Linked DNA regions of Lepisosteus oculatus. The protein of the gene in region 1 interacts with the protein of each later gene in a biochemical or structural test. Links are inferred from orthologs where the notes say so. Each region holds a gene or a part of one and is shown in the gene's direction. Other genes may lie near its edges. The genes, in order: foxa2 and otx2b.

Region 1 (15,587 bases):
CCTAGTCAGGTTCACGCCTGGTACCAAATGAGAGGATTAGCCTACAATATACAGTAGACATGGTCAACAAAATTAAAAAAGACTCAAGACTGAACAAACACCTGATTACATTTATTACAGAGAGGTGGAGAGAGTTGAATGTCTAGGGCAGAGCAGTGGTACTGTGGCTAAGGATCTGCGCTTGTAGTTAGGAGGCTGCTGGTTTAAATCTTGTGGCTAGCAGAGGAATCCTACTCTGTTGGACCCCTGAGCAAGACTGGCCCTTAACTTGAGCTTCTCTCTCCCACTCTCTGTGTCTCCTGGAGAGCAAGCTAGGGTATCTGAAAAAATAAATTCCTAATGCAAGAAATTGTGTATGCCTACTAAAGTGATCTTATTTTATCTTAAGGTAGCAGAAACAAACTAAAGGTGTAAGAGGGGGAAAACTGAACTTAAAGGAGCTATCTGTGAAGAAAAACATGTCTTTATGTTGACACATCACCTTCTACTATGCAGGGAAGTAATAAAAAGGAAACAAAATGTTATAACATATTTACATGAAGAATATTTATTTTAGGTTTACCCAGTATATTCAATATGTATAATTAAAATCAAGAAATAGATGTTATATATATACACTACATTATTATTTAGAATATTGTGTACAGTTTTGGCCACCTTGTTACAAACAATAGTTTTTCTGTTCTGGAACCAGTCCAGAGAAAAGCAGCCAGATACATTCCTGGAAATAAAGGAATACCTTCACCGACAGACAATTTTCAGTCTTACACAGAGAAAGAAGACTATAACAAGACCTGATTCAAATGATCAAAATCGTCAAGGGGTTTGTCAAGGCTGAAGGCACTGGATTTCTTCAGAATCCACAGTCAGACACGAACAGAAGAACACAAGTTGAAACTAAAGGAACGTTCCTGAGAAATTAAAAATGGGAGAAAAAAAACTTTTTCTTTCAAAGGTTTATAGGAAGAAGCCACACAGGCAATGGTGAAGTTGATAATGCTGTCTTCAAAAAATGGTTGATGAGATCCTCAGATCATTCATCTTCTAGCAAACACATGTACTAGATGGAGAGCCTGACCTCTTCTCACTTATAATCTTTCTTATGATCTTATATATTTTATAGATACATAAGTATGAAGGGGATCCCAGTAGAAGACATTATTAGTAGCAAAGAAAATGTTTATCCAAAATCCTCATAAATGGAACAACACTATTGGAATTTTTCATAGCATCTTGCACAAAACTTCAATCTTTGTTGGTGCTGCTTTGGTTTCACATAATTTGTATTTAGCTATCTTCTGCGTGAGCTACAGATAAAAGAGATCATGAGCTGTCGTTATTATTACATTTGCAATATAGGCAATTTGAATGCCTTTAGAAGTCTCTAATTTAAAGTGGACTTTTGTTCCAAAATGTCTTCCCTCCATGCACATTGTAAGACAATGATCTTTTGACTGATATCTAAAATGATATCAAATGTGACTAAGAGATTTATGGTTGGACAGACACAAAAACTGCAAATGGCTGCAAATGAACAAGCACAGTTTAACTCCACGCTGACAAGTAAAAAGAAAAAAAATAGTTCAGCTGTCAAGTCTTCTTGAAGTAGAGAGTTTATATAAAAACATTTCTAAAATGGTTTCAAAGGTTTATAGCATACCTAAAGATTGCATGGAAGATAACATCTGTAGTTATCTTCCACACAAATGCCGACTAACAATTTGATTTAGAGAACTCTGTGATAAAGAAGTAAAGAACTATTTTAACTGGACATTTGAAAAAAAAACAATATAGGGATCTTTAGAAGTTCAACAGAAAAGGTTTCATCTGGAACTTGACTGAATTTGGGTTTACAGTGTAATGTCTGCTTGTAAAAATGTTTTTGATTTTTTTAAATGCGATTTAAAAAATAAAATTGTTTCAAATCAGATGTTTTGGAGGCAAATCCCTGAACAGTAAAGGGGGTTAAAGCTTCACATTTATTTGTCAGACCTTGTCCTACTTGTAGCAGCTCCCTTGCACTAATTTGCCCATCTGTGCACAAACAGCCCAGAATGCCAGATAGTCATGGGTCACGCTGTACCAAAAAAAAAAAACAGCCCATTGCATAACAGGACAAGAACAGGAAATCAAACAGAAACGTACTGCTCTCCACACAACACACACAGCACGGCTTTAGCCAACCAGCTTTCAGACCCCGAGCAGCGGTATGACGCCAGTGTCAGTCATCTGCCTTGAATGGAACAGCGCTTGCAGGAAGTCCTGAATCCTGATGTTAAATGTACACAACTGAGGTGTTTCAATCCCACCGCCTTTTCACACTCAGTCTTCCTCGGGGAATCAATAGGCGGTAGAGTCTAACTGTACTGTACGTTGTTTGCTTCCCCACCCATGCATAAGCGCTTTAGTTATTGATGTAAACAAACACTTTCCCATCATTTCCAAGCCCCACAACGGTTTCAACACACTATCCTGGAAATTGCTGTGCCGATCAATGACACTGAGCTGGGGAACTTTTCAGAGCTCAGGGATTCCTGAAAAAAATAGGAACCCAGTTCTCAGGAATCCAGTAAAACACACATCCAGACTTACACACACGTTCTGCAAGCAGAATGGTATTTGTCAACAAAACTAAAAGTCACAAATGTTCAGAATCACAAAACCTCATTTTCTCATTAGATTCTGTTCATGAGATTAAGTTATTTTTTTTAAATCTCTGGCCTGTGTTTTTGGAACAGTTTGGCTTATGGTTCGGTCATAGAGAGATGTCAAAGATTTTGTCTGTCATTACTATACAGTTACATCTGCATTGATAAGAGATTGTTTTGGTATTATATTATGACAGTTATTGATTCTGCCGTATCATGATTTTTAATCCAACAATTAAAAGCATGAGAACATAAGAAGGTTTACAAATTCCATCTGTTAGACTTTATGACTTTATGATTTCTAGTAGATAATTAATCACAAAATTTCACCCAGTATAAACTCCTGCTTGCAGGATTTCAAAATATTCACTTTAACAAACTGACTGACCAATCAGTGTCTCCCATATTAAATCCTCCCCATTTCTCCCCTTAATTTCCACTTGTTACTCTATATGTTTTTTTATCTTTGGGCTGTTCTTATCATTTCCATTCCTGACTTTTTATCAGTTTTGCTTCAGACTGGAGAGTTTCAGTTCCTTTTTCCTATTTGTACGTGATGTTCCTCTACAATCCAAAAATATTCTGGTCACTTTAATTTAATCACTTTCAAAGGCAACAAAACCTTTTTGTTGTGTGGTCCACAACTCAGAATGCAATATATACTACGCTAGATATATTGAAAACGGGAGTCCGTTTGACCAGTCTAACTCATTTGGCTGCCAGTAGCTATTTGATCATATTGTTCAGTCGTTTCTTGAAAAAGCCGGGTTATCATCTTCAGTGGCATTGTTGGTTAGCTTTTTTAAGACTCCCATAATGCTGTATGTAAAAAGTGACACCCTTCTTGGGGTTACAGTAAATGCATATCACTGTATTATTTTTGTAGTTTCCACTTCTATCCTTTGATTCATGTTTCACTTTTGATTCTGCAGAAGTCTAGTGGGTTGATTTCATCAGAGCCTTTGAAGTTCTCTGACCGGGACTAAAAAGGTTTAGTTCTTTCAGCCTTTCTCTACAATCTATACTTTCATCATTGTTCCTGAAACACTTTACCTCACCCTTCTTTTACTACTGTAACACAGAATAAACCTTTATTATTGATTTACCATCCATTGCATAACCTGTGCTTGTAGTTCATTATAGTCATTTTTTTCAGAGGGATCTGGTTATATCTATGATTTTATCAATTATTTTTCATCTGTATATGTGTCTGAATTTATTAAACTGTTTGGGCCACTAGTAGTACTAATAATAACTAGAATCGCATGTATTCTATCTAGATCTGCCCAGCCCTAAATGCTGTCTAATCCCTCCTGTATGTTCTTTCCCAGAGAACTGAAGTATTAAAGAAAACACATTCAGCATTCACAATTTCAAAAATGGAAAGACTCTATCCCACACAGGGGGATACCATGATAACCCAGTTATGAGTGGTATAAAATACCAGGTGTACTTCAAGATGGACTATTCCAAGAACTGTTGCTAACTGCTTCTGATATTACAGAAAAACCATCAGGCCACCTCTGAAACACTACACTACTGATTGTAACATCAGTGATGGGACATGTTTGGGACATCTACATATAACTACGAAGGCACTAGACAGGTGGGTCAGTGTCACACATCTCTATTATCCCCTTCTGACAAAAGCCCGAACCGGAACACTGCCTAGTAAATAAGGCATCCAGTCCTCCAACAGTCGTTAGGCGAGCGTGACACCTGCACACTGAACAGTTCTGTGACTTGCATCTACACCTGCAAGTGATGATTGCATGTGTTTGCAACGGGACCAAAGTACAGAACTGAAGACCTGGGAGACTGTCTTCCATACTGTTTTAGGAATGCTTTACTCCCTATACATTAAGGCATTTTGTTTTATACTTTACATGTCAAGTATATACAACTTTGTTATTTGCCTCCAGAGCTCTGAGTCTCACTTCTTCCAGACCGCAGAGCAGACAACGTCTTAAAGCCCTTTATCTCCTAGCTGGTTTAAGTGACCTTTTAATTAGCCGAGAGGTGTGGTTAATCCCAAACAGAGCCTATACTGGCAGCTCCTTTCCCTCACGTGGAATTTCACTCCCACTGAGTTCCAATTACTCAGGCAGAATAGCTGTGCCTCGTTCTCCAGGTTTTTCCAATTAACATGTGGCTCTCGCACAAAGCCACCTCTCACTAGCTCACACAGCGGTATTATGGAAGACGTGGAGGATACGGAAGACTTGGTAGAATAAAAGTTATTTGCCGCAGAATTCAATACAAGTGGGACAGATGGGACAAAGGGCTGGCCAATGTGATATGTAATAATAATCCATCCATTTCGGTAACAACTTAGTCCCACACAGGGTCATGACAAGTGAGAACCTAACTTGGCAGGCAGTGGGCACACAGTTTGATACAGGAGCCAATTAAGAGATGGCAGAAAAATACGGCTTTGGACAGGCGGAGGAAACCAGAGAACTCCCAAATAAATCCACCTGAACAGGAAGAGAACATGCAGATTCCACACGCAAAGTCCCACCTGGGACCCAGGAACTGTGAGGCAGACGTGCTAAAGGTCACAACACTGTGCCATCTGTGTGACAGAAGAAATCTACAGCAGGGATTGTTGCCACTTTACCAGACTCCTTAATCGCACAGCCCTTTCTCACTACTGTTACCTGCATCTTAATCCCCAGAATCTATACAGTGAATTGAGGAGCAGTTCAGAGCAGGGGTGAGGGGTGGTGGTCTTAGATTCCCATGGTAGACATTGTTGGGGAGACCCTCAAAAAGAGTCCTGTAAAAACAGGCTGGCGCTCTAGGCGAACTCTGAGCGAAGAGAGCAAGTTGTTGTTGTTTTTACACAAGCCGCTGTCGTGAAATAAGAGTATTTCTGAAACAAATACCTACAGTACAATTGCATGCTTACCTTGAAAAGGCTGAAAATCACGCAAGAGGTAGAGAAGAAATAGATCACGGGACTCCAGGACTGCAGTACTTAAAACGGTAATGAATCATTTGAAAATACGGATTTGTTTCGTTATTTCCGCGTTGATGTCTGGGGCAGCGAGTTCACAAATACAGTGTTTCCACCTGTGCATAAAGGCATTTGTGTTCTGTATTATTTCCAAAAGAGGGCGCTCTCAAATGAATTAATCCCAGATTGGTTTTCTTCAAATTATCAAGAGTATCATTAATAAATAATATTTGAAAACCTCTTTTTACTTAGAACGGTCGGTGTTTTCTAACGACAAATTAGAACGAGAAGCTTATGGAATATGTATGAAGATATGTGTACTGGGGTTCAAGGCTCAATACGGTTCCATCGAAATTAAAAAAATATCTCTATTCTTGATTTAAAAGGAATTGTATAGTTTACTATAGAAATTATTTTTGTTGACGAATCTCAAATCCTGAATTCTTCGAATCTTTACATGCATAATCATTATCAAAGAACTCAAAGAACTCGTTTATTATCAATAAACATAGTGAAATGCTGCTAGATATCGTGTTGATTCTATATGAAATTACAAATACATTCAAAGACCATCAGTATAGTAATATCCACGCTCAGCGATTTTCTACGGCACTCCAAGAACTGCGTCCATGCAGAATTCTCCCGTTTGGTGTGTGTAATAAGTAAATATATTAGCAATGAAATAGCACGATTAATTTCACTTGAAAGAATGTTAGTGTTTTCTGAAGCCTGCTTTATCAGCCATCGCTGAAGAGATCTGTTAAATCTCTGATGGTCAAACACATTAAATAAACTTTACTTTGTTTAATATATCAAACAGCCTGCGGGTTCTCCAGAATCAATAAAATGATGACTCGTGATCTGCGACGCGGCTGCGTGCGAGATGAGTCTAAATTCAAATGCTGCTCCTGTAACTGAGAAAATAAAACTGGATTTCTCTGTGAAAATGTAGCTGAAATATAATTTTGATATAAATAACTTCCAATATTGCTCAAATTTAAAATTGGTCCACCGGGGAATTGTCTCCGCTTGTTTTTGGTGACAGGTCACTCATAAATCCTATTTCATGTTTCCTTTTGTTTTCTTCAGAGAAAATAAAACAAGGTCCACGTTGTGCTTTGTGTAATTCGTTTTGCGTTTTTAGTTTACTTAGTTGCGAAATGTCATGGGCATACAAACCTTGGAAATAGTGTTTTTCAAAAACAGATTTTCGGTTTTCTCTAGGCCAAAACTAGCCAAGCTAAAAAAATGATACCGAACAGGCAAATGATGAATTGGTTGTACAGTTAAAGGTCTGAATTCGGTCTAAAATAGTGATTAAACGAATTAGAGCAAAAAATATTATCCGATGACGATGACCTTAGAAGGACAAAAGGGCTGAAATGAGTAGATGAATGTTAACACACTTCTACGACTAATATTAGGATTTATTAACTGTAGTTTAATACTTATAAAATCACTTGTAAATCGTCTATTGGGAAAGCTGAAACTGGAAGAAATGAGATATCCGTACACGTTTTATTGAGATTACAATGCGTTTGATAAAAAGCATTGTTTAAAAATGTTTTATTAGCCAGTATTGTAAGCGGTAACAAATTCAAGTCAAATAAAACAAAAAAAAAGGAAAAGTTACTCGTGTTTGACCTCATGTTATGGAATACAATTCGATTCTTTACAGCAGAAGTGAACATCTAGTCTTGTTTCTGACGATTCTAACAGGGAATATAGACCACACTCCTGGCAATAAACAAAAAAAGGTCAAAAAGAAGGCAATTCTCTGCATTCCTAATTCCGTCTGCTGAAAAAAAGTGCATGATAAAAAGCCTTCTTACAACAACAGTTTAAACTCAACTCTTTTCTCCTGGAAAACAATCAGATTAGGTTATAATGAATCTTTTCAAATGGGGTTTGTTCTTTTTAGTTAGCGCAGGTGTACAATAGGCGGCCAAGCCGGGGAGTCTCACGCCTAGGTGTGAGCTGATTATTCAAATAGGGCAACGCAGAAGTAGGGATTGGAGATTTCGCCTGGCGCACAGAGCTATATCACAGCGTTTACAGCCAGACACCAACGTCATTTCAGCTCCTGTCATCATCAGACGCTATTCAGCGCCTCTGGGCACCACTGTCTGAAATCTACACATGCTCGAGTCCCCGAGTAGAAAGCAGACCAGCGATCTGGGTTACCGTTGGTCCGAAGTCTTGTTCTAGAGAACTTTTTTTAAAAAAAAAAACCTTCTCCAGAGAAGCTGTTGACCGGGTGGATTCGCTGCTTCCACAATGCTGGGTGCAGTTAAAATGGAAGGACACGAGCATTCAGACTGGAGCACCTATTACGGCGAGCCCGAGGTTGGTAGCTTATATATATTTTTTTTTTCCTCCTAAAGCCGATCCCATTTTATACAACTCAATATTAGCCCTGAGATAATATTAACTTTGTGATCAAATATTGACTTGAGGCGTCTCCAAATCCTCCCCGATCTCCGAGCTGCGCTATCCTAACAAAGTTGGGCTTGGCATGCAAGAAGAAACTTTTTTTCTGGAATTCTGACTTCATCTGCTTACATACAAGTCATGGATAATTTGTTTTTTAAGGATTGCTTTCTTTCATTCTGTAGTGGAAAATACACATGTAATTGCTATATAGTGCTGTCGAGTTGCATTCACTACTTAATGAATATGCATTCAATGTTTCTTTTTCGGTTTCTGTTACACTTTCTGTATTGTTTTCTGTACAATTTGATATTTTCACGTCCTGTGATCGTTCTAAGGAGAACTCGTGAAAAGAATCTTTGAGGAAATCAGTTTCGCTCATGGGACTTCTTTATACATTTTAGATTAGCCGCTGAAAGCACATTTGTTTGATTATCCTGAAAATATTAAATACGTTTCATGTAAGATTCGAGTTGGGTTTTTTTTTCTGCTCGAACGAAGACAACGCTTGGATGAGGAACAACATTTATAGAAGTCGTTTTGTCGAATCAATGATAGGTCGCGGGTCACCATTTTTTTTTGTTTTGTTTTTTTTAAAGTTTTGTTTTCATTAACAAACAAAAACTTAACTGTGGTGCCAAGTTTGTTTTAAGCGCCTTTGACACAACCGCCAGTGATTCGAAAACTTAACTTTTGTGTGTCTTTTTTTTTTCCTGCTCCCACAGTGTTACACATCCGTTGGCAACATGAACACCGGACTGGGGATGAACACCATGAACACGTACATGAGCATGTCGGGCATGAGCACGGCGGCCACCATGACACCGAGCTCCATGAACATGTCGTACGTGAACACGGGCATGAGCCCCTCTATGACGGGCATGCCAGCCGGGGCCGGCTCCATGAACGGCATGGGCCCCGGGATGGCGGGCATGAGCGCGGCTCTCAGCCCCAGCATGAGCCCGATGACCGCGCAGCCGCCGTCCATGAACGCCTTGACGTCCTACCCCAACATGAACGCAATGAGCCCCATGTACGGACAGTCCAACATCAACAGATCGAGGGACCCGAAAACGTACCGGAGGAGCTACACGCACGCCAAACCGCCCTATTCGTACATCTCCCTCATTACCATGGCCATCCAGCAGTCGCCTAACAAGATGCTCACGCTTAGCGAGATCTACCAGTGGATCATGGACCTCTTCCCCTTTTACCGTCAAAACCAGCAGCGCTGGCAGAACTCAATCCGCCACTCCTTGTCCTTCAACGACTGTTTCCTGAAAGTGCCTCGGTCGCCCGACAAACCGGGAAAGGGCTCCTTCTGGACCCTGCACCCGGACTCCGGGAACATGTTCGAGAACGGCTGCTACCTGAGGAGACAGAAGCGCTTCAAGTGCGATAAAAAACTCTCCAAGGAGTCCGGCAGGAAGACCTCCGAAGGCGGATCTAACAGCAGCTCGGAAAGCTGCAACGGCAACGAGTCTCCCAATTCCAACGCGTCCTCCTCCACCGAGCCCAAAAGGTCGCTGTCGGACATGAAGTCCAGCCAGGCTCTGAGCCCCGAACACGCTGCGTCCCCGACATCTCAGGCGCAGCATCTGCTGTCGCAACACCACTCCGTCCTAGCGCATGAAGCGCACCTGAAGCCGGAGCATCACTATTCCTTCAACCACCCTTTCTCCATTAACAATTTAATGTCGTCGGAGCAGCAGCATCACAAAATGGACCTAAAGACTTATGAGCAGGTAATGCATTACTCTGGGTATGGGTCTCCCATGACAGGAGCCTTATCCATGGGCTCGATGACCAGCAAGGGGGGCTTGGAGACCTCGCCAATATCCACTGACACGTCTTACTATCAAGGTGTGTATTCTAGACCGATCATGAACTCTTCCTAAGTTTTCTGCAACACAATGGACCTTTTCCAGCAATTTGTACATTTTGTAAAATAATAGTTTGTGCACACGCATTCCAAAATATTTTTTTGATGTTTCCCAATGATTACTAGATGTCAAGTTTGTTTAGTATTTTTTTTGTAAAAGGGGTGTTAATATATGACAAGATTTGTTTGTTTGTTTTCAAACTCCCACCGCAGCTTTTGAAACGGAACAAAAAACAAAACAACAATGTTACAAATTATGGCACGGTAAATACTGAATTTAAAATGCAATTTGGGAGAGTGAAGTGCTTCAGACGAATAATTTATCGTTTGTGTATTTCTTATTTATGGCTTGTAAATGTGTATTCTTGTAGTTGACAACAAGGGCAGAATATATTAAAGTGTTACTTGGACGTTTTGGGAACATGATCGTCTGGTCTTATTTTCTGTAAAATTATGTTTCATGTAATTACGAACATATTATATAGAAAATATTTCAGCATTGAAACGCATCAGTATGGCTTGATAAAGTCAACATGAAACAACACAAGGTATTTTTATCTACGATGGTAAAAATCATTTCATGGTTTAAAACAGTATAGTTTTCGCTATTTCAATACCAAACGGTGTTACGTTGTGGTTCGCTTCATTTAAGAGTTAGGACATTTATTAATTAAAACCAAGTATTTTACCTTTACGAAAACACCCTAAATCACTGTAAAATGTTGACCAGTCCGGATTTCATAAGGGGCAAAACTAAGAATCAGATCGAAAAATTATTTTGAGCCTAATTTAAAGTAACTAAATGTCCTATCGCATTCAATGATCTAAATAGTGACATATTGTATATCATTTCGGAACAATATGCAATGAGAAACTCAACAGATTTTAAAAACCGCTTTGGGACTTATTCTGTTTTTACCTTTTTGAAATTGTGCTGGAAAAGTACACCCGTTACACCTTCCGCTATTCTCCCCAAATAACGTGAAATATTTGCATTGAAAGGTTAGATCCTACAATTTAACGTTGATATACGGGTAAAACGAGTTTTCAGATGACCTTATAAAAAATCATGAATCAAATATAAAATCGAATAAACTAAATATGCTAAATATGTTATCATATTCTTAATATATGGAGGTGTACGTGTTTCTAAGATGACAGGGTAAATATTTCAGTCTGCTTGGCGCCAGAAAACAAAACATTTGGCCAGGCCTGTCGGTGTTGTTGATGTGTTAACTTTTGCGATTTCACACACACAACGAAGTCCTCTATTTTACTCCTTGCATGGACTCTCTTGCTATGGTTCACCTGCGTGATCATATTCACAGTTCGTGAAATGTTTCAGTGTGTGTTTGTAGCTTTGGGTGCCGCGGTGAGTTGCAGAATTGAAACACGAAGCACAAGAAACCCCACGAAGCCCAGCAGGGCATTTAGCCAAAGCTGCGAAAAGGAAGAAGAGTTAAGATCATCAGTGAACTACAGCAGATGTGGGAATAGGTGAGAAAAAGAGATTTGAACCGCTACAGTCAAACAAATAAAACGACATCCTCACCAACAGCTGATTAGTTCAAACCGCCTGGAACAATCGTTGTAAGCAAAACTAAAGTCCAGCTTAAAGCACTTACTACGCAGCGATGCTGCATATAGTTTCGTTTTTGTGGCGAAATCTAAATTCCATGAAATGGCGCAGTGTACTGAGAAACAGTGCTTTATTAAGTGCGTCTCGCTTTTCGCTGTACCTTATAAAGCAGCTAAATGACAAAACACCCACAGGAGAAGTGTTCTCGATGAATACTTGGTTTTATTGCCCATATGTTTTTCCTGATACACTTCATGATTACTAGTGTTGGGGCAGTGATGACTTAAATCTAGCAAGTCCTCAGAAAATCTAGATTAACATTCTATTAACATGTGTGAGCACTTCCAAACAAACATAAAAAAAATGATTAAGAACGATTACAGTGCCCAATAAATTCATGGACACAAACGGGGTGCGCTCAGTCGTCAGATTGCCGATGACAGCACCCGGTCGCTTGTTAGTAGACGAATGATATCAATTTAATTAAGCTTGATGTCATTGCAAATGCAAAACTTTTTTTCTTTTGATTAAATATAATTTTAATTTAGCTGTACCTTAAAAAGTTAAGAGTATAGCATTCTAGCTCAATTCGCTATTCGGGATTTATTCACTAGTACAAGACCCCTAAAATCATGAAACCACTGATGATGATACTGGTGAGGATTCGATATAAATCTGAAATTGTGGAATCGGTCACAGGATGACTTTAATAGTATAGTTCTTCACTTGGCGCTATTACTGTAACGAAGGGAAAAGGAATGAAAAAAAAGTTTGTTAAAAGTTTTCATTGAAATGATTAAAAATCAATTATTACTTCTTAGAAGCGCAGTAATAAAAATATAGAATAAAGGGGGCTGTGGTTTTATGCGCAATTACTGCTTTAATTTCTGTAACAAGATAATAGGACCCTTGAAGCACTTAAAGAAAGGTTCCTATTATCGTTTTTTTCTGTATGACACAATTTAATACTCTAGATCCTTACTAGTCCAATTTCTTAGACGTCACTATTTCTTCACAACAGCAGCCTAATTTCAAGGTTTAAATGTCAAATTTTTTAATTTTTTTTATTGGGGGGTGGAGGGGGGGGGTACTTTTTCATCTCAAAACTTGAAAACTCAAAAGAAAACTGGGAGGCGTCCAGAGGAGAATGTATTAAACGCATTCGTATTTAAGTAACAGTTACTATGTTATTTAAAAAAAAAAACGGTATTATTCCCGTGCAGTATCTCGGGTTTCCCACGCACAGTATACCACCAGATAGTCTGAACTCGCACCTACATAACAACATTCAAATCCTCCTTAAATTCGACATTGTCCTGAGAATGCAGTCCCCGGGTCGAAATCTCGCCCTCTCTCTCTGTTTCTCTCCTCCGGGAGGACACACACGTTGCGATCCAAGCATGAAATTTGTTTCATTATCACATAAAAGCCTCCCGGGGAGAAGGAGAATGGGGCGGCTTTGGCAACAATGGAGGCTGAATGTGATGCTCTAACCTGTTATGTTCTGTATCACACAGCCATTGTCAGGGGGGTACTTTTAAACTACTTAGTGTCTCCCACTCCACTGATCCTAACAGATAAGATGTAGTTCTCCCCGAATAAATCAAAACCGGGGATGTCATTCTGATCACTGGGAGAAACCGATCGGTTTTTTTTCCCCCCTGTCTCAGCCTTTGGGTGTCTCGCCCATGGCTACCTCCTCACATTCCGGACGTCCAACTTCTCTCACCGCGTCGCTCCTGGTCCCTTTATTTCCACCGTACATGTATTTTCCGACTCCATTCCACAGATCGGTCTTTAAACACCCGCGATCCGTGAATAAACAAAGTTTGTAAACAATGAATATATATATATACATGTAATACCAAATTCCAACAGAGCAAACTTTGAACAGAAAGACGTCACAGTTCAGTAAATTTGCACAGATATTAAATTTCGTTTCTCTTCATTTTAGCCATAATGCTAAGCTGAATTTTTATAACTCTGATCGATATCTCGGTAAAATAATCATTTTTTTAAACTAGCGGGGCAGTGAAATCTTTGCTTTGTGCTAAAGTCAACAGTGGCAGAGTTTGAGCTCAAATAAATGCCGGGATGCCTCGAGCCCTTTGCAGTAGGCTTGTCTGAGACGTTTTAAAACTGGGCTCCGGTCGTTTGTGCAGCTGAGCGAACAAACTCACCAGGTAGGCATATATATATATATTTCACTTTATGCCAAGATGGAGTGTTAAAGAACAGAGACAATCACCTACATCAAAGTGTTTGTTTTAAATATAGCTCCGAGTTCGGATTGAGAAAAAAAAAGTACCAATATTTCAAAGCAATATAACGTATTTTGGGGGTTACCGTTGAGAAACCCAAACCCATATGCCAGTTCAGTACGGCAGGTCGGTTTTTCTTCCTTTACCTTATTGTTATGGGTCAGTTAACAATAACAGGTGATTGATAGTCTCGATGTTATCAGGATAACTCACTTACCCTAAGTGCGCACGGTGTTTTTTTTTCTTTTCAAAATCCAATGCGGACATACAAGCACTCTCACACACGCGCGCGTTCATGCATATATATATTTAATAATATTTAACAGGTAGTCGCGTTTCTTCGTACTTTCGTGCATCGCTATTGTCTCTTTGAACGTTTTGCTTCATCTATTGAATGTTTTATTATGATCACTTCTGCATAATACCTAAAATTATGTTTTTTAAAAAATTCCGAGTACCAAATTTCATACATTTTATAAACCTAATACCAAACCTTACCTTTTATCAAAACCAAATGAATTTACTGAATTTTTAAAACCCAAGTATGAATTACAATGGAATAGAAGTGGATCTTCAGTTGATATTTATTTGTGGATATATTTTACATATATAAAAATTAGAGCAACGGAAATAAAAATATGAAGTGCATAATAACATGGTATATTTACAACATTTCAAATACGCACTCAAAAGACGTGTTTCTAGTGGAATTGTGCTGATTTTAAAACAAATGCTGGGATGTTAGAAAAGTAGACGGGTGTTTATATATTGAGTATGCGAACACAATCACGGATACGAATGATGTACAGGTCAACAATTCAGTACTTTTAATCAGAAACAAATAGCTTACACCAAAGAAAAAATAATTGAGTTTTATCTGTACAAAATGTATCATGTATAGATTATTTCTATTAAGTTTCAGGTAAGTTTTTCTCTTTTATCTTCCGTTTTTAACATAACCAGAGCTCCCCGCTTTCAGTACTGCATCACCAGCTAATGCTGAAAAATGAATAATAACCACGATCATATTATTTCTTTAAAATAACATAAAATAAAAAAAATTAAAAACATTAAAATATTAAAAAAATATATGTGTGCATATATTTAGGAGCATAAACAGCAACCTGTGGGCTACGTAGTTTTATAATCTTCTTAGAAAATGCTTAATTTCACACAGATATCATTAGCGCCTCAGTGCACTCAACGCGTACAGAGGTCTACAATTTCTAAACACCTGTAATTTCCCAATACGCTGTAAAACTATAATAATCTGCAACCCCTTCGGAGTGCTGTAAAATTTAAAAACAAAGTTGGAGTTTATTCATTTACTTTCCCTGCGTAGCTATAAAACTTGTAAGTATACGACCGTTATGTCAAAGGACTGAACAACGTTTTTCTGACTCTCATATTTCACGCAACAGTAAATGAAACAAAGAAAAAAACACCGGCGCTGAGATGATTTTGTTTATATATGGGTGCATTTACATCCACATTTCTCGAGGAAAAACTTATCGTGGCCACTTAAAATATTTGCTAGGCTATTGAAAAGATGGGAGTGAGCGCACAGTTGTCCACAGCCATGTTATTAACAGCACCGAAGTCTTTCATTGTGCGATGAAGTTTTGAAAATGCGAGTGACTCCGACGAAATAATAAGAAAAAGTCACTTTAAGCAGCACTGTCGCTTTTATTTTCGCCGGGTAGACATCTTCGCTTCCAAAGGCTCTTCAGTGTCACAGAGCAACAAGTAAAATGATAAATGTTATTCATTAGAGCTTTGCGATTTTTACCAGTCAAATTCCAGTAAATCCGCAGAAAGCTGTGACATT
Region 2 (16,182 bases), on another chromosome or scaffold:
AGGATGGCAACGTTATTAACCTGGCAGCCAGTGTGTGAACTGTACGATACAAAATAGACAGGTGGTATTGGTATAGTCCTAGTTTTCAACGACTCACAACAATGCAGTGTTAATGTTACAAACGTGAGTGCTTCAGCTTCATTTGAGTCACCCTCCTCTTGCATTACGCTAGCACTTTTTCCAATGCCAATACTTTGTTGAGATCTGGTGGCTTCCCTCTTTTGAAATCCAAGGCAGAAAGCAGGTAATAGAGGCAACTGAACGAATGTGGCGAACTTAAAATCAGCAGACAAAAGATCTCCGACATTTGCAAGTGCAATGTAAACACCAGATGACAAGCCTTTGGTGTTGTCTACAAAATCTCCAAAAATATCAAAAAAGAGAATACAAACAATGGAATACATCAACACATATCCGTCTTGAACTGGGGCACAAAGGACATAACCTTTGTTTTTGCCGAAGGGAAGCATTTGGATTTAATTATGTGCTTGGGGTTGACAGTTTATCTCCACAAATTGAAATCCCTTTCGTAGGACCTCTTATGTCTAAAAGATGGCTTAATCTAGAAAGTGAAAGGCTCCCTGCTGTGTCTTATGTTGTGCTATAAAAAAGTTGCAGAAGCATTGTGTTAGCCATAGCCCTGGCTGTCTGAAGGATCACCAGTATTTTCCTTTGAGGTCTTGTGAACCTGCAACATTGTCACATGAGGGATCAGCTCCTTTCCCAGTGACCACCACATTATTGCATGCAGGGAGAGGTGTGTGCGGAATTCTGAGACTCTCCGTCTACAGTAAATGCTAAAAAATCAAGGCAGACCTGCCTGTGGTAAAAGCTAATCTGACTTTTGCAAAAGTCTGATCATAACGTTTTCCTCCTAGGAATCGAGAAATAATTGGAACGGAAACATCTGTCACTTTTTTTCCTTTTTGGGCTGCTTCCACTGATCTTGAACAAGTCTGATTGCTGGACTGATTTGTTTCGTTTGCTGTTTTGATCTGGTGTGACTTTGCCATTGTCTACTTTAAGCGCTTTGAGAAGCCACCTTTAAAGGCGCTATATAAAATAAAGTTTATTATTATTATTATTATTATTACTGCCGGTAACCTCCCTAGGTTGGCTTTGTAAATAACACCTTGTTCCTAAATGGTTAGTTCCAGGTTAATGAACATATAACTAACAGAGAACTGTGGTGAATTCATCGTGATCTTCAAGTTTCTGCACTGATTTGCGTCTTCCTGTCTGTGTTGTAACTACCAGCTCATAGTCACCGTTTTTTTCAAGTATCAGATAGTGCTCTTGTTTCAGCACGTTTGTAAGCAATACAGCTCTCTAGTTTGACCCTCCATCATTCTGCCACCCAGCAGAAATATTCCGATTGCATCCCTGCTCCAGTTGAGAAGATGTGATCATGGAGATGGAGTGCACCAAAGAGACCTAACTCTCCCCATTCTGCTTTGGTATAAACATGGCTCCTATCTTGTTTTAAACCAAAAACATCAGACCAGGATGTCCTTCCATCTGTCAATATATTTGTCCAGGTGATGTTTGCAGCCTAACAAGGATGCTTAATGTACAACAACATTATCTCCCTTTTCCTGAATACTTAAACTCAGCCAGTCAGATATAACAGTGTCAACACATCAAGACACCACACTGTTAATCTATTTTTTGGGCATGGAGCGGGCACTAAAATTGGATTCACCATTTATTTAGCAATATTCTTTTTTAAATGCATTAAATGGAAAAAAAAGTTGGCTGCAACTTTGAAAAAAATGCTCAATCGTCATTTATTTTGTTTCTTTCAATCAGGTAAATACAAGTATGATACAGCAGAAAGGAACTCTACCTAACCTCAGATACCGAACAACGTTGAAAAACCAAGGAGAACAGACCGGTGGCTCAAAAGTTCTCTTCAAAGACCACGTCTCACCGTCTCCAGCGAGAACAGCAACAGTGTCTCCGTGTTGCGGAAAACAGCTACGTGTGTTTCTATCGGTCTGGTTTGAAGGTGAAGGAAGACTGAATCAGGCTGCCCTCGGCCTCTCTCTCTCTCTCTCTCTCCGATTGTGTGCTTGGATTCGAGAGTGTTTAATCTTCTCTCAAAGAGCTATTGAAATACACTGCCCTTTCAATTAAGTGCTTTCTTGTTCTGGGCCCTACCTCGTGTTCTTAATGAAGACACGTTTCATTTTCAATATTTTTTCAATAACATTAATATTGCGCCGGACGGGAGACTGAGCACCGGCGGCGCGGTAATAAACTTGTGATGGGGAAATTGTTTAGGCATGTGTGTAGGGTGGTGGGGGGGATAAAGTTACTAATGGGAACTGTGGATGTCGCTTAAAACCGATTGCATCACGCTAACCACAACTGGACAGAGGGTACCGGCTCCCTTTTTTTCAGTATTCGAGACTGTGATTTTATATTTATATCACAATTAAAATATAAATGAACGTTACCATTTTAATCTTAATCTTTATACCAACCGGATTTTCTTGGAATTTGCTCAAAGACAGGAGACAAGACACAGAATGCAGAAATTAGTTTTCTTTCGAAAGAAAATGAAAAGTAAAGTTTGGAATGCAATATCGTATACTGTATGTGTCCATGTGATACGTAAATAACGTCTGAATCCATGGTGCTCGCCGGCATCTCCACTCGGATTGAAACGGTATATTCGAGAGAGGGTCCTAAGGCTCTTTTTTAAAACGCAGGTCCCTGCAATCGCCATAACTTCATCCCAGTTAAAGTTATTTAAAAGGGTGTCCGCGTTCCCATAGACATCGCAGGGTATGTGTCTTAAACTAACACGTAAACCTAACAGATCAACGGTGTTTTCTTTCAAACAGGTAATTTGTACTGACGCTCTTTCCAAAATGAGTCCCGGAGCCCTCACTGAAGTCTCAGACAAAGAAGAAGAAAGGAGTTTTAAAAATCATCCTTATCCCGCAATCGTCAATTAGTCTCTAATTGATGTTAATCCCGCTACAATATTTATTAAATATTTTATTATGAATAGTAGTATTATCTGCATTGTCATGCTGACCCTGATCTCTAGAACAGGGGTGCTGGAAGACGTTTATACTTCAAAGCATCCCTCACGGTCCTGTGTTTAACTCTTCAGGTGTACAGCTTGATACAGAGCTGTTCTCTGTAGCGCAATCAGAATTTATGTTTAATACGGAATCCCGGTAAACATTATGTGCACGCAAACCGTTCAGGAAACTCCAGTGAGATCATTTAATTTGAAATAAAAAATACAATTGATGCGATGATAACAGCAGGGGCTGGTGGCGGGTGTTGTAGTGACGATGAAGAGAATTGTAATACTGTAGCTATCCTCGTTTTAAGATTCTTGGTATATTTACGTCATCGTTTTATATTTAAATACTAAACTGGAAAATAACCCATGGTATGTTGTTTGCCCAGAAAGCCCTACAAACAAACAAGAGCAATCAAGAGATGGGCTGCATTTAGAAACTAGCAGTTACTACTAATAAATCTGTCATATATATTTTTTTTTAAATACAATACTTCAGTTCAATTATAAAGTACGTTATTGACTTAAATGTTTCAAGTTGGAACATTTGTTTGACAAGTTCTATTCAGTTTTCAGGTGCTACTCGGGTGTTTTATATGAATAAACACAGCTGCCAACTTTCTGTTAAAGTTCACATTACACACAGTTCACAGACTGCGGGATTACAGATTGCAAAATGACTCCAATTTAAGAAAATCGTAACGTCAGCACGAAGTTACCTTGACCTATACTATCGGCTCTGAAAAGGGATATATAATTTACATGTTAACGTTGCTTAAATAATATCAAGTTAATTTAGCTGACAGGAATGAGTTAAAACATTTTGGATCTAGTTGAGAGTTTGATATCGATATTTCAAACTGGTTTATATATATCGACGAACGCTCGCACTAAACGTTATTTTTCCCTTTACGGTTTAAGGCGACGGCAACGTTGGAATAGCTCCGTATAGTGATATTGTAAACCTTGTTGTCGTCGCTCCAAAATGGAAAAGGCTTCCAAAAAAGAAGGCCTCGATTTTGAAATATTATTTTAAATGCTTTGTGTTGCTCGGGCGCGTGAAGAAAGGGGATAACTTTATGTGGGAACTCTTTACGTGAAGTGGGACAGGATTCCCAGGAGTCTTAACCCTACAATTCGTTTTCCATAAACCGGGATAAACAACGACTTCTTCAATTAGCCGCGAGGCAGCGGGGTTACTGATAGCCGCTGGCGTTAACACGAGGTGTGCGATTTCGTTTTCCCGTCGTTCTCCTTTTTAAATATAGAAATTCCCCGAGGCGGTGTGGTATTTAAAAATGAATAATTTATCAATTTAGCTCTAAAGAGTCGGTGCGGGTTACATCCGAGCTATAATCTCGAGCTGCGTCAGGCGAACTGGACGCTGGATCCTGCAGTCCAAAACCGTTTAAGATTAAACCTCTCAGAATGTTTTAGTAGTCGACTAACAATAATCACAGGTTATCATTTTCATCTAGCGTTTGTAATGGAATATTCATGGAATTTCCTTATGAGATGTAAATGCTAAAATTAGTAAATACGTAAATAGTAATAAATACATAGTAAAAAAAGAAAATATAATATGACAACTCAGTGAATTTAGGGGGAAATGGTTTCATATAATGGTTGCATATAAAATTAATGATGTAAAGGTGTCATCGTATATGTATATAATTATTGCCTTTTCGGAAAAAAAAACGTTATTTTTAAAACGTTTTCAAGCTGATTCAAATAACAGCTCGTCGAAATCCAACTTCATGAACTCTCTGAATTGCGTCTTGTTTTCCATAAAGTAAATAATTGTGCCGTTCTTCGGACAGACGATCGAAAATTTAAGAAGAAGAAAAAAAACAGACGACTGTAAATGCATTTTAGATTCTGTGACAGGTTGGGTCCCTCTTTCTGTTCCCTGGCTGCCGGGGTGTGGAGAGTTTATTGGAAGACAGTCCTGAAAGAGTTTGCAGCAAACAAAGTTGCGAGGCTGTGAAAAGAGCAGCAATAACAATTAGCTTGTTCGCTAATCCCTAACAAAACGCGACCTGTCCCCGAGCGCTCCGAGAAACTGCGGGCACGCGGGGGGGGTTGGGGCTGAGGGAATCGGGGGAAACGGGGACAAAAGAGGCTGATCCGTGGGCCCCTGTAAGAGTGGGTGGGTGACACACAATGCAAATAATCCTGGTATAAAATTATATGGAGTTCCTCCTTTTGCTGTTTGCTTTTACGCAGCCGTTGTGTTTCGGTTCTAACCAAATGTTTTATTATTATTTACAAACTGGAGGTATGAGCAGGCAGACACGACTGATACGGAGACGGACGTGATGGATTGATTTGATGAAGTACGTTAACAATGGACTGACATGTAAAATCATACCCTTTTCTCTCCCGTCCTCTTCTTCCACTGATGGTCTGATAGTGACCGAACCTCTGAAGTTGCTAGCAGTGAGCCTCGACGTTCGCCGCCAAACTTTTGTTTCCATCGCAGAGGAAGATCAGTCCTCTTACGGAAAACTTAGCTCACGTCCTATCTGAGACCTTTTATTTCGTCCTGCCTCTGATTATTTCAACGGTGATGATTAAACCTCGCACCGCACGCATTTCAGAATGGCAAACGGAGAGTTGAGAATGCGTGAATTTCCTGCTCAAACCGACCGGGGGTTTATGAAGCTGTGGATTCCGGCTTTGGGTTTAAAACCTAAATCTATATTCAAATCTGACTGAGGTGTGTGTGAGTGAGAGAGTGAGGGAGAGAGAGAGGGGGGGGGAGCGGGGAAGATTGTGTGGGATGTGTGTCTGGATTTCTCAAAGCTTTCTAAAGAGGATACATATACCAAACAGTGACAAAATCCTCCCGATTTGTTTTTGTGGGGATGCACTCGTTTCACAGAGGACTGGAGGTTAAGTGGGGGTTCGAAGCAGTCGCTTCTCTCGTTCAAACCCTCGGCAGACAGTCATTTGATATCCCACCTGAAAATGCCATCACTTTAAATTATTATTATTAAAATTATTTAAAAATATTATTGTTGTTGTTGTTGTTGTTGTTGTTGTTAATATTATTCACTCGTTTGCTTATAGCGTTCGCTTTGCTTCATGTTGATACACTGATGGAAAGATCGAAAAACTATTTTGGAATTTTTTCTCCTATACATTTTCCTCTTGGATTTTTTTTTCGTGGACACCAGACAGCTCAGAGTGACTCCGAGCGGGATGTCAAATTCCTCCCTTATCACGCCTACCTTTGGGAACTCATTTCTAGCTTTGAAATACACATACGCTCAGAAAGAGCACGTATAGATGAACTACCGTGTTTTATGTAGGCCTAAATATGCTTAAATTGTAATATTATACAACGTAGTTGAAAAAAGTAGAAGTTCGGAAACTTGTTCTACTTTATTAAAGCACGTGTCAAATGCCAGAACATAAATTAACTATCCATTGGTTTTGGGTATTATTTCTTAGATATTGACAACTTCCGCAACCGTACTTTCTATATTATTATTATTATTATTATTATTATTATTATTATTATTATTGTTGTTGTTGTTGTTGTTGTTGTTGTTGTTGTTGTTGTTGTTCCCTAATAAGAGTATATTTCCTCAAATTTCTAGCGATTAATCAAGTCATATTACCGTCTAAAAGGTGATTTATAAAATAATACAATACAAGTTAGACTGTTCCACTGTAAGCAGAATCTATATCCGACACAAAAAAATCAAATCCATACATACCTGAAGTGTCCTTTGCAATTCCCCCAAAAAGACAGTGGTTGAAATTAAATCAGTAAATCATCGCCCATCTCTGCTGTTCCCATCAAAGAACTTCACAGGACCTTCTTAAACGTCCTTGTTCTTGTCTGAGAAGTGGGCACCTCCAGGTTTGTGTCGCCATGTATCTGTCGCAACAGAAATCCGTGGCAAGGTTTGTAATGTGCAAGTTTAGCGCTATTAAAAACTCTTCGGGCAGCCCCTAAACACGCACCGTCCGGAGTATATAACCTCAGCAACTACATAGTTGGGGTGTTTCAGGAAGTTTTCAGTCTTACCTGCACTAACTTCGCTTCCTTGGGAATTCCCAGTCTCTCTTCTGAAAACTTCAACTACAGTATTCCGTCGCTTACTCGCTTGTCATGGGGCAAAAGCAGTGTCGGGAGCAGGGCGTGACAGTATATGTTCTTCAGAGGGTCGCCGAGTCTCTAGATCTGTATGGTTGCTATATATATAAAAAAAAAGAAGAACAAATTCTACCGGTCTGTCTTTCCCCGTGGTGCACACTACGATGTCAGTGAAACCCTGGTTTAGGTATTTAGGGAAGCCGTCCGGTGAGCCGGTTGAGTCCTCGGGGCGCGAGTGGGGGGTGTTTACTGCTGTTTTTAATTAATCGTGGGGTTCAGGGGACGTCATGCTCACCTTTCTTCTCTAGAAAGTCCTACTATCTAGGACTGAAAACAATGCCCTCTGTTGTCCCTCAGAAGACGGTAGTAGCGGTTGTATTTATGGTGTGTGTGTCTGTGTGTGTGTGTGGGGGGGTGTTTATAGTAAAAGCAACATTTTAAAATGTGTAGATAATAAATCCATCAGGGGCTCCCATGTATCCGCCGCCTCTATCAACCCTGACCCAGGAGGACTGGAGACGTTGGACGACAGCAAGACCGTTCTCTCCCCCCCGTAGCGCTATTGCGCTGTACACTGGCGTGTTATTATTATTTTCCCTTCTCTGACTCCGAACTGGGTACGTTGTCAATCAGGCTCTCGCTGCCATTGGCTGGGGAGTTTGCGTCAAAAAGTTGCTGGTGAGATTTGTCTCTCAGCAAATCTCCCTGAGAGAGAAACAGACCTCAACCTTCCAGCCTCTCTCATTGGACGGCGCGCTCTCTCCAAGCCCAACTCCGCAACTTCGACAGAAAGATCAACAAATCGCTACCGTATGTATTTTCAATTCTTCCCCAGGATTTCGCCACCGCTTCGCAAAATGTCGCGCAAAATGTCCAGGCTTGAATTCGCCTGATTTTTCTCTTCTGCTGTTTTTTTTTTTCTCTCTTTCTTACAGGATTTCCTTACTTTCAAGTTTTTTTTCGGGGGGGTGGGGGCACAAATCGAATTTCGGCCGAACCCGCTCCCGGAAAATCAGGTAAGAGTCATTCCCGTGTGTTTTTGAGGACTGTGTTTCGAATCCCTTTTTTTTATTATTTACGGCGTAGAAGTGCAGCACTCCGTGGAGATTTTTTTTCGCAGGCGGTTGTTTTAGAAAGAAATTGGTGGGCGATAAAATAAGTTTTAGTCTATTAAACGAAGTCTGTCTTGAAAAAATACACGATCGGGAATTAAAATGGCTATTTTGCTCTGCATAGTAATCAAATCAAATCTTTGTAATCCGAATTAGCTTGTAGAAAAACTAGATTTCACGGCGGTACATAAGGCAACCGAAAACTCAAGCCTACTGCACAACGTGTTACCTGTGAAACCGCTTGTGCTTTTAAGCCTGGAAATAAACATACAAGGATGTATCATGAACAAAACGGTTTACTGTGTTTTCGAATTTTGCTTCCACTAAACGGATTTATAAAAGCAAATAGTGTTGTAATAATCGTTTTACATTGTTAAGATATTCAGAAACTCCTGGCGCAACTTTCGCCTGTTCGTATTTTCTTCCGAATTCCGCTGAATGTCCCCACTTGTAATGGAAATACAGGCGGACAAAGAGCGGTAATTGAGGAGGCGTGTATCGGAGTCTTTCTTCCCCGAGTAGTCCTGCTCTCTCCGCCCCCCGGCACCCCGATTTCCACTGCTGCTCGCCTGTCCCCCCTCTCCGGCAGAGCGCGGGCAGGCAGGAAACCGTGCAGGAATGGACCGGGTCAGACAGTCTGGGCTGCACGCCTCCGTTTGCGGTCCACTATTCCTTTAGATCCTTCAAACTGAGATATACTCCCCGGTCCCGAGAATCCCGTTTCCGCCCAGACACGGTGATCGATGCAGAAGACTGCAAACGAATAGTCTGTATTAACGCGGTGCTTTAGTCATCACGTAGTTCGGCTACTGTGGCCGCCGGTGGTATCCTGGCAGTCGTTAAATCGATCAAACGAGGTTTTTTGCTGTATGAACCGAAAGGATATTTTAATTCTGGAATATCTAAACTGTTTCTGTGGTATTTCGTATGGCGTCGATATATAAAACGAACACATAAAACTGAGTTAGAAATTAACCCTTTTCTTTCGTTTAACTCGCCCTGAGAAATTTTGATTACTGCCCAGTCAAACGGGCTCTGTGCTTCTTGAAATTGCTCTTCCGCTGGAAATGCAACTTTCATGTAAACGAATTAAATATTGGGTGTTTCTTTACACGAATCCCGCATGCCATTTGTATCAGTACAGTCTACACGCGCAAAATAGACTTTTTGCTCAGTATAAAAACGTATCTTATGAAAATTAGACATATGTACATGTAAAATTATACTATATAATTTTCATTTTGCTGATGTAAAAACATAAGATACGTACAGTATATATACATTTGGATGTAGCCTACAAGATTAGCATATATTTGAATTAAATATCGTACAATATATGCATCGAAGGGATTTTCAGTAATATGTGCTATTCGTTTTTTTAAAAGTCGGAATAATTGTGTTGTTGTTGTTGTTGTTTTGTTTTAGAAATGTATGGAATTAAATTGACTTACCCGTAAACCAGTGGTGAATTTATATTCCCCGCTCTTGTCTGAGGGCTTGTACCTTAAGAATCTCCAGACACATTAACACATTTTCTAAATAAATATAGGAACGCTTGGGCTCTGACTGACTGACTACTCCCGCTCCAATCTGGACATGGAAAAAAAAAACGTTTACAGAAATACAGGCCTTTAAAACAACTGCGGCCGACAATCGGCTAGGCTGCGTTTTTGATCAACAGAATGCCAGTCTATGGTTGTTGTTTTTTTTTTGTTTCATTTTCATCAAGCAGAAAATTAATCAGCCCAAATGCGCTGCAGAGTCGAGGTTAGCGTCCTGTAATTAGGGAGCGCGTGCCACCCGGATTATCTCGTTAATTTATCAAGAAAAAAACATTTATTATAATTAATTCTTGGACAGGGTAATTATTATTGAACGGGTGAGGAGCAACTGGTAGACGAAGGTCTGTGCAAAATAAAGTGACAGATTGGCCCGGTTAGCCGTTAGATATAAAACGTGCAATCGTGGCCTCTTGCACTCAGGCGATCTCCGCTCCTACCAGTTCCAGCTCTGCAGGTATGAACCTCCGATTTTTATTCACAAACTGGAACTGAATGGAATTGTGGGTGGGACAAAACTGGGGACTTTCGGAAATCTTAAAATTAATACTCCTGGGATGAAAAAAAAAGTGTTTCCTGTTTAATGTCGTATCTACCTGAACTGTAACTGAATACAGAACTAGTCTTATTGCTTGGCTTTAAATGTCCTGGGAGAAATAAGACAATCGTATGTATATTAATTATATAGTCGTATTTTTGCGTCATCTTTGTTCATATTTATTTTAGATTTCAATTATGTTTTGGCGTCTTCAATCCATTTGCCTTTTCGAATATTTTGACACCAAATCTATTTTTTTATAACGTGCGGGATAATTGCAAATTAAATTAACGATTTCACGCACACATATACTTGTATGTTAGCACTAAGTGTTACTGACTTCTTAAGAAAAAGGGTTGTTCGTCCGAGGTGAGTAAAGGAGTTTAGTTTATCTGGACTTTTGTGGGCTGTATTCCTCTTACCTTTACAGTGTAGGTATGGTGTTGCATTCATGGAGTATACAAGAGGCCCAGAAAAAAAAAGGTTAATTATATCCAAGGAAAAAAGGTTAATATTATTTTTAGTGTATTGTTTAACTGAACTTTGGGACAAGTTTCCTTTGAGGAAACGTGTGGTTTAAGATTTTATAGTCGCCATTTTGAAGATTCTCAGTGGCTCCGGGAAACTTGTAAAACACAAAAGTGATGATATCATGGGAGGGATCAGATAATATTATTACAAAAATCTGTCTTAGCAGCACTTGAGAAAGCTGATTGTTGCCGCGAGGGGTTGTTATCCAGTACGCCGTGGTTCCTGAAAAGTTCTAAAAAGTTGATAATTAATCTATTGCACTGGCATCGTGTACGGTGACAGTTATTCTGAGTTTTCTTAAAAGCTGAATTGTGTCAAGGGTTTTTTTTTCTGTGCAGCAGTTTTGTAATTATGTGGTGTAATGTAATTATATATTATTTCAATGCGGGTATGATTCCTGGAATTCTTTTTTTGTAAAAAAAATCAATGTTATTTCTTGTTATCAACTAAGGTTATACAGCTCCCCATACAACCAAGGTAGATGTTAAGATTTTTCCAAAATCGTTACCCAGTTCGCAAGTTGTAGTCGGTTTTAACGCCGTAAATGAGCCAAGAGGTGCTGTGAAAGCGCGTAAAGAATGAGTTTGTAATTGAAAGTTGATTGTTTGTTTAACGCAAGTCTCTTTAAACACTTCTAATCAACACCTGTCGATTGCCTAATAAACTTCTTTTGAAATCTTCAAAATGAAATTACCGGAGGCGTTAATAGTTGGAAATGACGAAGAGTAAAAAAAAAAGACAGCAGCATGTCTAGTGGAACTGCAGAGTGAGAGAGTTGCTCAAGTTTCTGGTTATTTGCTGAAGTACTGGTGTTTCACATTTTAATGACATCCTATTTAAATTGACAGCGATTTCTATTATGTAGACAAAGCCCGCAGATATAATTAAAACGAAGAAGCGGTGCTAGCTTAATGGCTACAAAATGGGGAGCGAAGAGTTTTCTTCATTGTTTCTTTGTTTCTCGCCAACGGGGCTTTTGTTATCAGCATTATTTATCTGGCCAACACCGGCCTTTGTCTCTCCAAATGGCCCCCAATCAAGTCTACGTTGGAAACAATTAGCTGGTCCGAACCTATGGGTCCCTATGCAAATTGTGCTCCTTGTTGCTGCCCAGTGTGTCTGCATTTGAACGAATGTGTTTTGTTCTCCGAGAAGGCGTGCTGCAATTATGGGGTGTAGCTTGCTTTTTTTTTTTTTTGGGACACGTTTGTCAGGCAAGAGCATCACTCAGTTCACTGGGACAGCTGGGGGTCCAGGGCCGCTTTAAGAGCACAGTGCGAGCAGGACGGCGCTCATTCTGAACTTAGCGCCAGCAGCTACAGGAACAGCGAGCCCATCCCGCAAAGAAGCCGAAATCAGAGCAGCCCCTTCGGCTCACACGCAGCCTCCGCGCTTCTGTTTCTGATTTGTCGGGCAGGTACTCACCTCTCGCCAGCCGAGGGCCAGAAAGAACCAGCGAGGACTCCGAGGGGCCTTCTGCTTGCTTTTCGCCATTTTTGCCAATTTGTCCCTCCGAACCAACTTTAGCATGATGTCGTATCTCAAGCAACCACCTTACACAGTCAATGGGCTGAGTCTAACTACCTCTGGGATGGATCTCCTCCATCCGTCCGTAGGATACCCAGGTAAGCGCGCTCACTCTTCGATTCGCTATCAGGGTGCGGGGTTTTTACTTTTTTTTAATTTAGGGAACCATTTTTTTCTGCTTCTAAAAGGATTGTAATTTTTTTAAATTGTTTACGAAACGAAGCGGCGAATTTCTAAAATGTCGTCGTTGTTGTTGTTTGTTTCTTAATGGACTGATTTTTCAGTTTTATATTCAGGTAAAAAATATTTGTACTCGAGATCCACCCCCCAAAAATACACAGTGGATAAATGTAAAAAGTGTTTGGTTCTCTTTTAAACTTGACAGGACATTAATAATTTGGCAATTGAGTAGAATGATATAACAAGGCCACATTGTAATTGTAGAAACTCTATGACCAGAGTTTTTTTTTAATGTAGCTTATTTTTCACCTAACGCCGAAGGCGTTAACATTTAACTACTTAATAATAATGTAGTAACAGAAACGTACATTTCTTACCGATTTTCTACAATTTTAAATAACCCTTTAGGAAAATTGAAATTACATTCATCTTTTAATTGCGCATATGCATTTGTGTGTTGGGGTATGAGCGTATAAAATACGCATGTTTATTAACGATAGTGTAATTATATATGATTTAAACAGTGTTTAAATATGAATTACCTTGTGATGACTATGTCGAAGCTCAGCAAAAAAAACAACTTTTCGGATTTTAACAAAATTCACAATTTATCTGCACACTTTTGTGGCTATTGGTAAATTCCCAAATTATTTAAGCATCACGCCCGGCCTCAAACTACATGCACTCGAATGTATTTTATTCATCTGCAGCAACGCCTCGGAAACAGAGACGGGAGCGGACTACTTTCACCCGCGCACAGCTCGACGTCTTGGAAGCCCTTTTCGCCAAGACTCGCTACCCGGATATATTCATGCGCGAGGAGGTGGCTCTGAAGATCAACCTGCCCGAGTCTCGTGTACAGGTGAGCAGGATCACCGCGAGAGCACAGGGGGGTGATCCCGCCACGGTCCGTGACAAACTCCCCCTCCCCTCCATTTTTCCCTTAGCAGCCTCTGGGGAGAATCTCAGAGAAGCTTTTAATATGAACCCTATATCCCCCTTCAGAATAAACCCAGTCTTGTACAGTGTGTGTGTGTTTTTCAATTGATTGCTCTAATCGCCGTGAACAGGGGCTCTCACACAAAATTTAATTTAAAAGCAGAGACGTGGCTTAAGAGGGTGATTTTAAAGTAGAACAGGGACACTCTCAAGTTGCGAGAGGTAGCTGAAGCAAACGAGTCATGAAACGTGTGATTATTGCTATTAGTAATACTTTATTGTTGTCCATAATATCTTAGTTCGTTTGTGATCTAGCACACCTTGAGTTTAGCATTCAGGACGCACTCGATTTAACAGCGCTATATGAACAGGATTAGGATAATTATTAAGGGGGTCACAAGAAATGCCACTTATGTTTTAGACAGTTTAATAAATCGTGGCACCACTTCCTCTGTCATTATTTTGTATTTTCACTCTATTTGCGTGCACGTTGGTTCCCCTGTTCACTCGCCAGTTCTGTGACCGATGCGCTGCTGTGTCGTAGGTTTGGTTTAAGAACAGGAGGGCGAAGTGCCGACAGCAGCAGCAACAGCAGCAGAACGGGGGCCAGAACAAGGTCAGGCCGGCCAAGAAGAAGAGTTCCCCCGCCCGAGAGGCCAGCTCCGAGAGCGGGGCGAGCGGCCAGTTCACGCCGCCTTCTAGTACCTCCGTCCCGGCCATCTCCAGCAGCAGCGCGCCGGTGTCCATCTGGAGCCCGGCTTCTATTTCTCCCCTCTCCGACCCACTGTCTACCTCCTCCTCCTGCATGCAGAGGTCCTACCCGATGACCTACACGCAGGCGTCAGGATACAGCCAGGGCTACGCCGGATCTACTTCCTATTTTGGCGGGATGGACTGCGGGTCGTATCTTACTCCGATGCACCACCAGCTACCCGGGCCTGGATCCACCCTGAGCCCCATGAGCACCAACGCGGTGACCAGCCACCTCAACCAGTCCCCGGCGTCTCTCTCTGCCCAGGGCTACGGGGCATCGGGGCTAGGATTCAACTCGGCGGCAGACTGCTTGGATTATAAAGACCAAGCGGCCTCCTGGAAGCTGAACTTCAATACTGATTGCTTGGATTACAAAGATCAGACCTCGTCTTGGAAGTTCCAAGTTTTGTGAAAGAGAACGTTGAGGCTGGACAGTTCCAACAATAACACGTAACGATAATGACCATCTAGTCCTGCCATCTTCCACTAGACATGCGAGTAAGAGACTGGACATTTCTGAGATGTTTCGGATTGAGGACGGGGTATTGATGGATCCCTTCACCGCCCTGCTCACTCTTTGACCATAACACGGAGAAAAACTCTGGCCATGAACTTTTTTTTTTCTATTCTTGTTAACCTCGCAGGGCGCAAACAGACGACCGTCTCCTTGTCCGCGTGTATGTGTGTGCGTGCGTCTGTCTGCGAAAGGGACACCTGTTGGTTCAGGCGAAGGAAAACGCTGAGCGAACTCTTCTTCTTCGCCACCTTGATCAATGCCACGGAACAAATCGTTATCCCAGAGAGAAAAAAAAAACAGTAAGAAGAGCCAATCTTGGTTAAGTGCTTGGAATGGGCAGGCTTTCCTTAAGCTTCTTAAAACTTGCCGACCTGCTTCCCTGTTGGCAAGCCAGAGACCCTTTGATTCGGGGTGGTGTGTGGACTGCGCGCCCCCGCGGCGATCTGGATGCACTATTTTATTTAAGAAAAAAAAATAATGTTTATAAGGAATCAATATGTAGTTTTTAAGAGACAATCAGTGTGTGTCTTATATAAATGGTACATATGTGTTTTTTATCTGTGCTAGCCTTCGAAACTGTGATCTGTTGTATTGTATGCAATTTGTGAGCGCCTTCGCACCAGCGAAACCGCTCTGCTGTGATTTGAATAGGTTTATAACTTTTTTTCTGAGCGAAAAAAGTATTAATAATGATAAAATAATAAAAAAAGATTAATTAAAGAAATCCCAGACTGCCCGAAACCTAAAACACGAGAGGGTCGGTGTTCGGGGAAAAAAATAAAAGGAAAACTTTCACCCATCTCCCTATTTCATCCCGCAATCTAACAACACCGTGAGCCCTAGGATACAGCTTGTGGGGTGTCGTGTGAGCCGTCAGTGCACCGAAACAGTGGACAGTAATTAAGGTCATGTCATCTGACCCCTCGTACAATAACTATTTAATTAAAACTGGAATTTTTTGTGTGTTTGCAAATGTTGATAGAATATTATATATAAGTATATATGCATAAACGTCAGCCTTGAATTTCGCACACATGTATGACTACATTAAAGTCGTTCTAGCACAAATCCAGTTGTCTTCCGCTCTTCCTGAGTTTAGCCCGCGGCGCTGAAAAGAAATAAAGATTCAAAGTGGAAAATAATTATCTACAATTATCTGGTGTTTTGGGATGGAGTGTAACACGATTAAGTGGCCTGTACTATTAAAGATAGATCTTTATTACATTTTAAAAGGGTGCTTTCGCTGTTACAGTAATTTTTTGAGGTTTGCTGGTACTCGGAGGTCAGGGTAATTCCCATAACAGCAAAGAGGAAGGTGACAGCTTTTCCTGACCAAAAATAACAATTTAATGAATAAATGAGGAAGAAAGGCACGATT

Evidence for each region.
Region 2: the proteins of foxa2 (region 1) and otx2b form a complex in vitro, tested with the Homo sapiens proteins (2 studies listed by BioGRID). The link is inferred for Lepisosteus oculatus from reciprocal best matches to the Homo sapiens genes FOXA2 and OTX2.

Annotation. Positions count from the first base shown.
Region 1 is NC_090697.1:10,715,437-10,731,023, reverse strand, and holds foxa2 (forkhead box protein A2), read left to right. Parts: upstream 1-7,627; 5' UTR 7,628-7,884; coding exon 7,885-7,953; intron 7,954-8,762; coding exon 8,763-9,935; 3' UTR 9,936-10,345; downstream 10,346-15,587. UniProt on the Homo sapiens protein: Transcription factor that is involved in embryonic development, establishment of tissue-specific gene expression and regulation of gene expression in differentiated tissues.
Region 2 is NC_090703.1:10,053,151-10,069,332, forward strand, and holds the start of otx2b (homeobox protein OTX2), read left to right. Parts: upstream 1-7,838; 5' UTR 7,839-7,958; intron 7,959-8,083; 5' UTR 8,084-8,164; intron 8,165-12,305; 5' UTR 12,306-12,416; coding exon 12,417-12,513; intron 12,514-13,305; coding exon 13,306-13,457; intron 13,458-14,078; coding exon 14,079-14,699; 3' UTR 14,700-16,182. UniProt on the Homo sapiens protein: Transcription factor probably involved in the development of the brain and the sense organs. Can bind to the bicoid/BCD target sequence (BTS): 5'-TCTAATCCC-3'.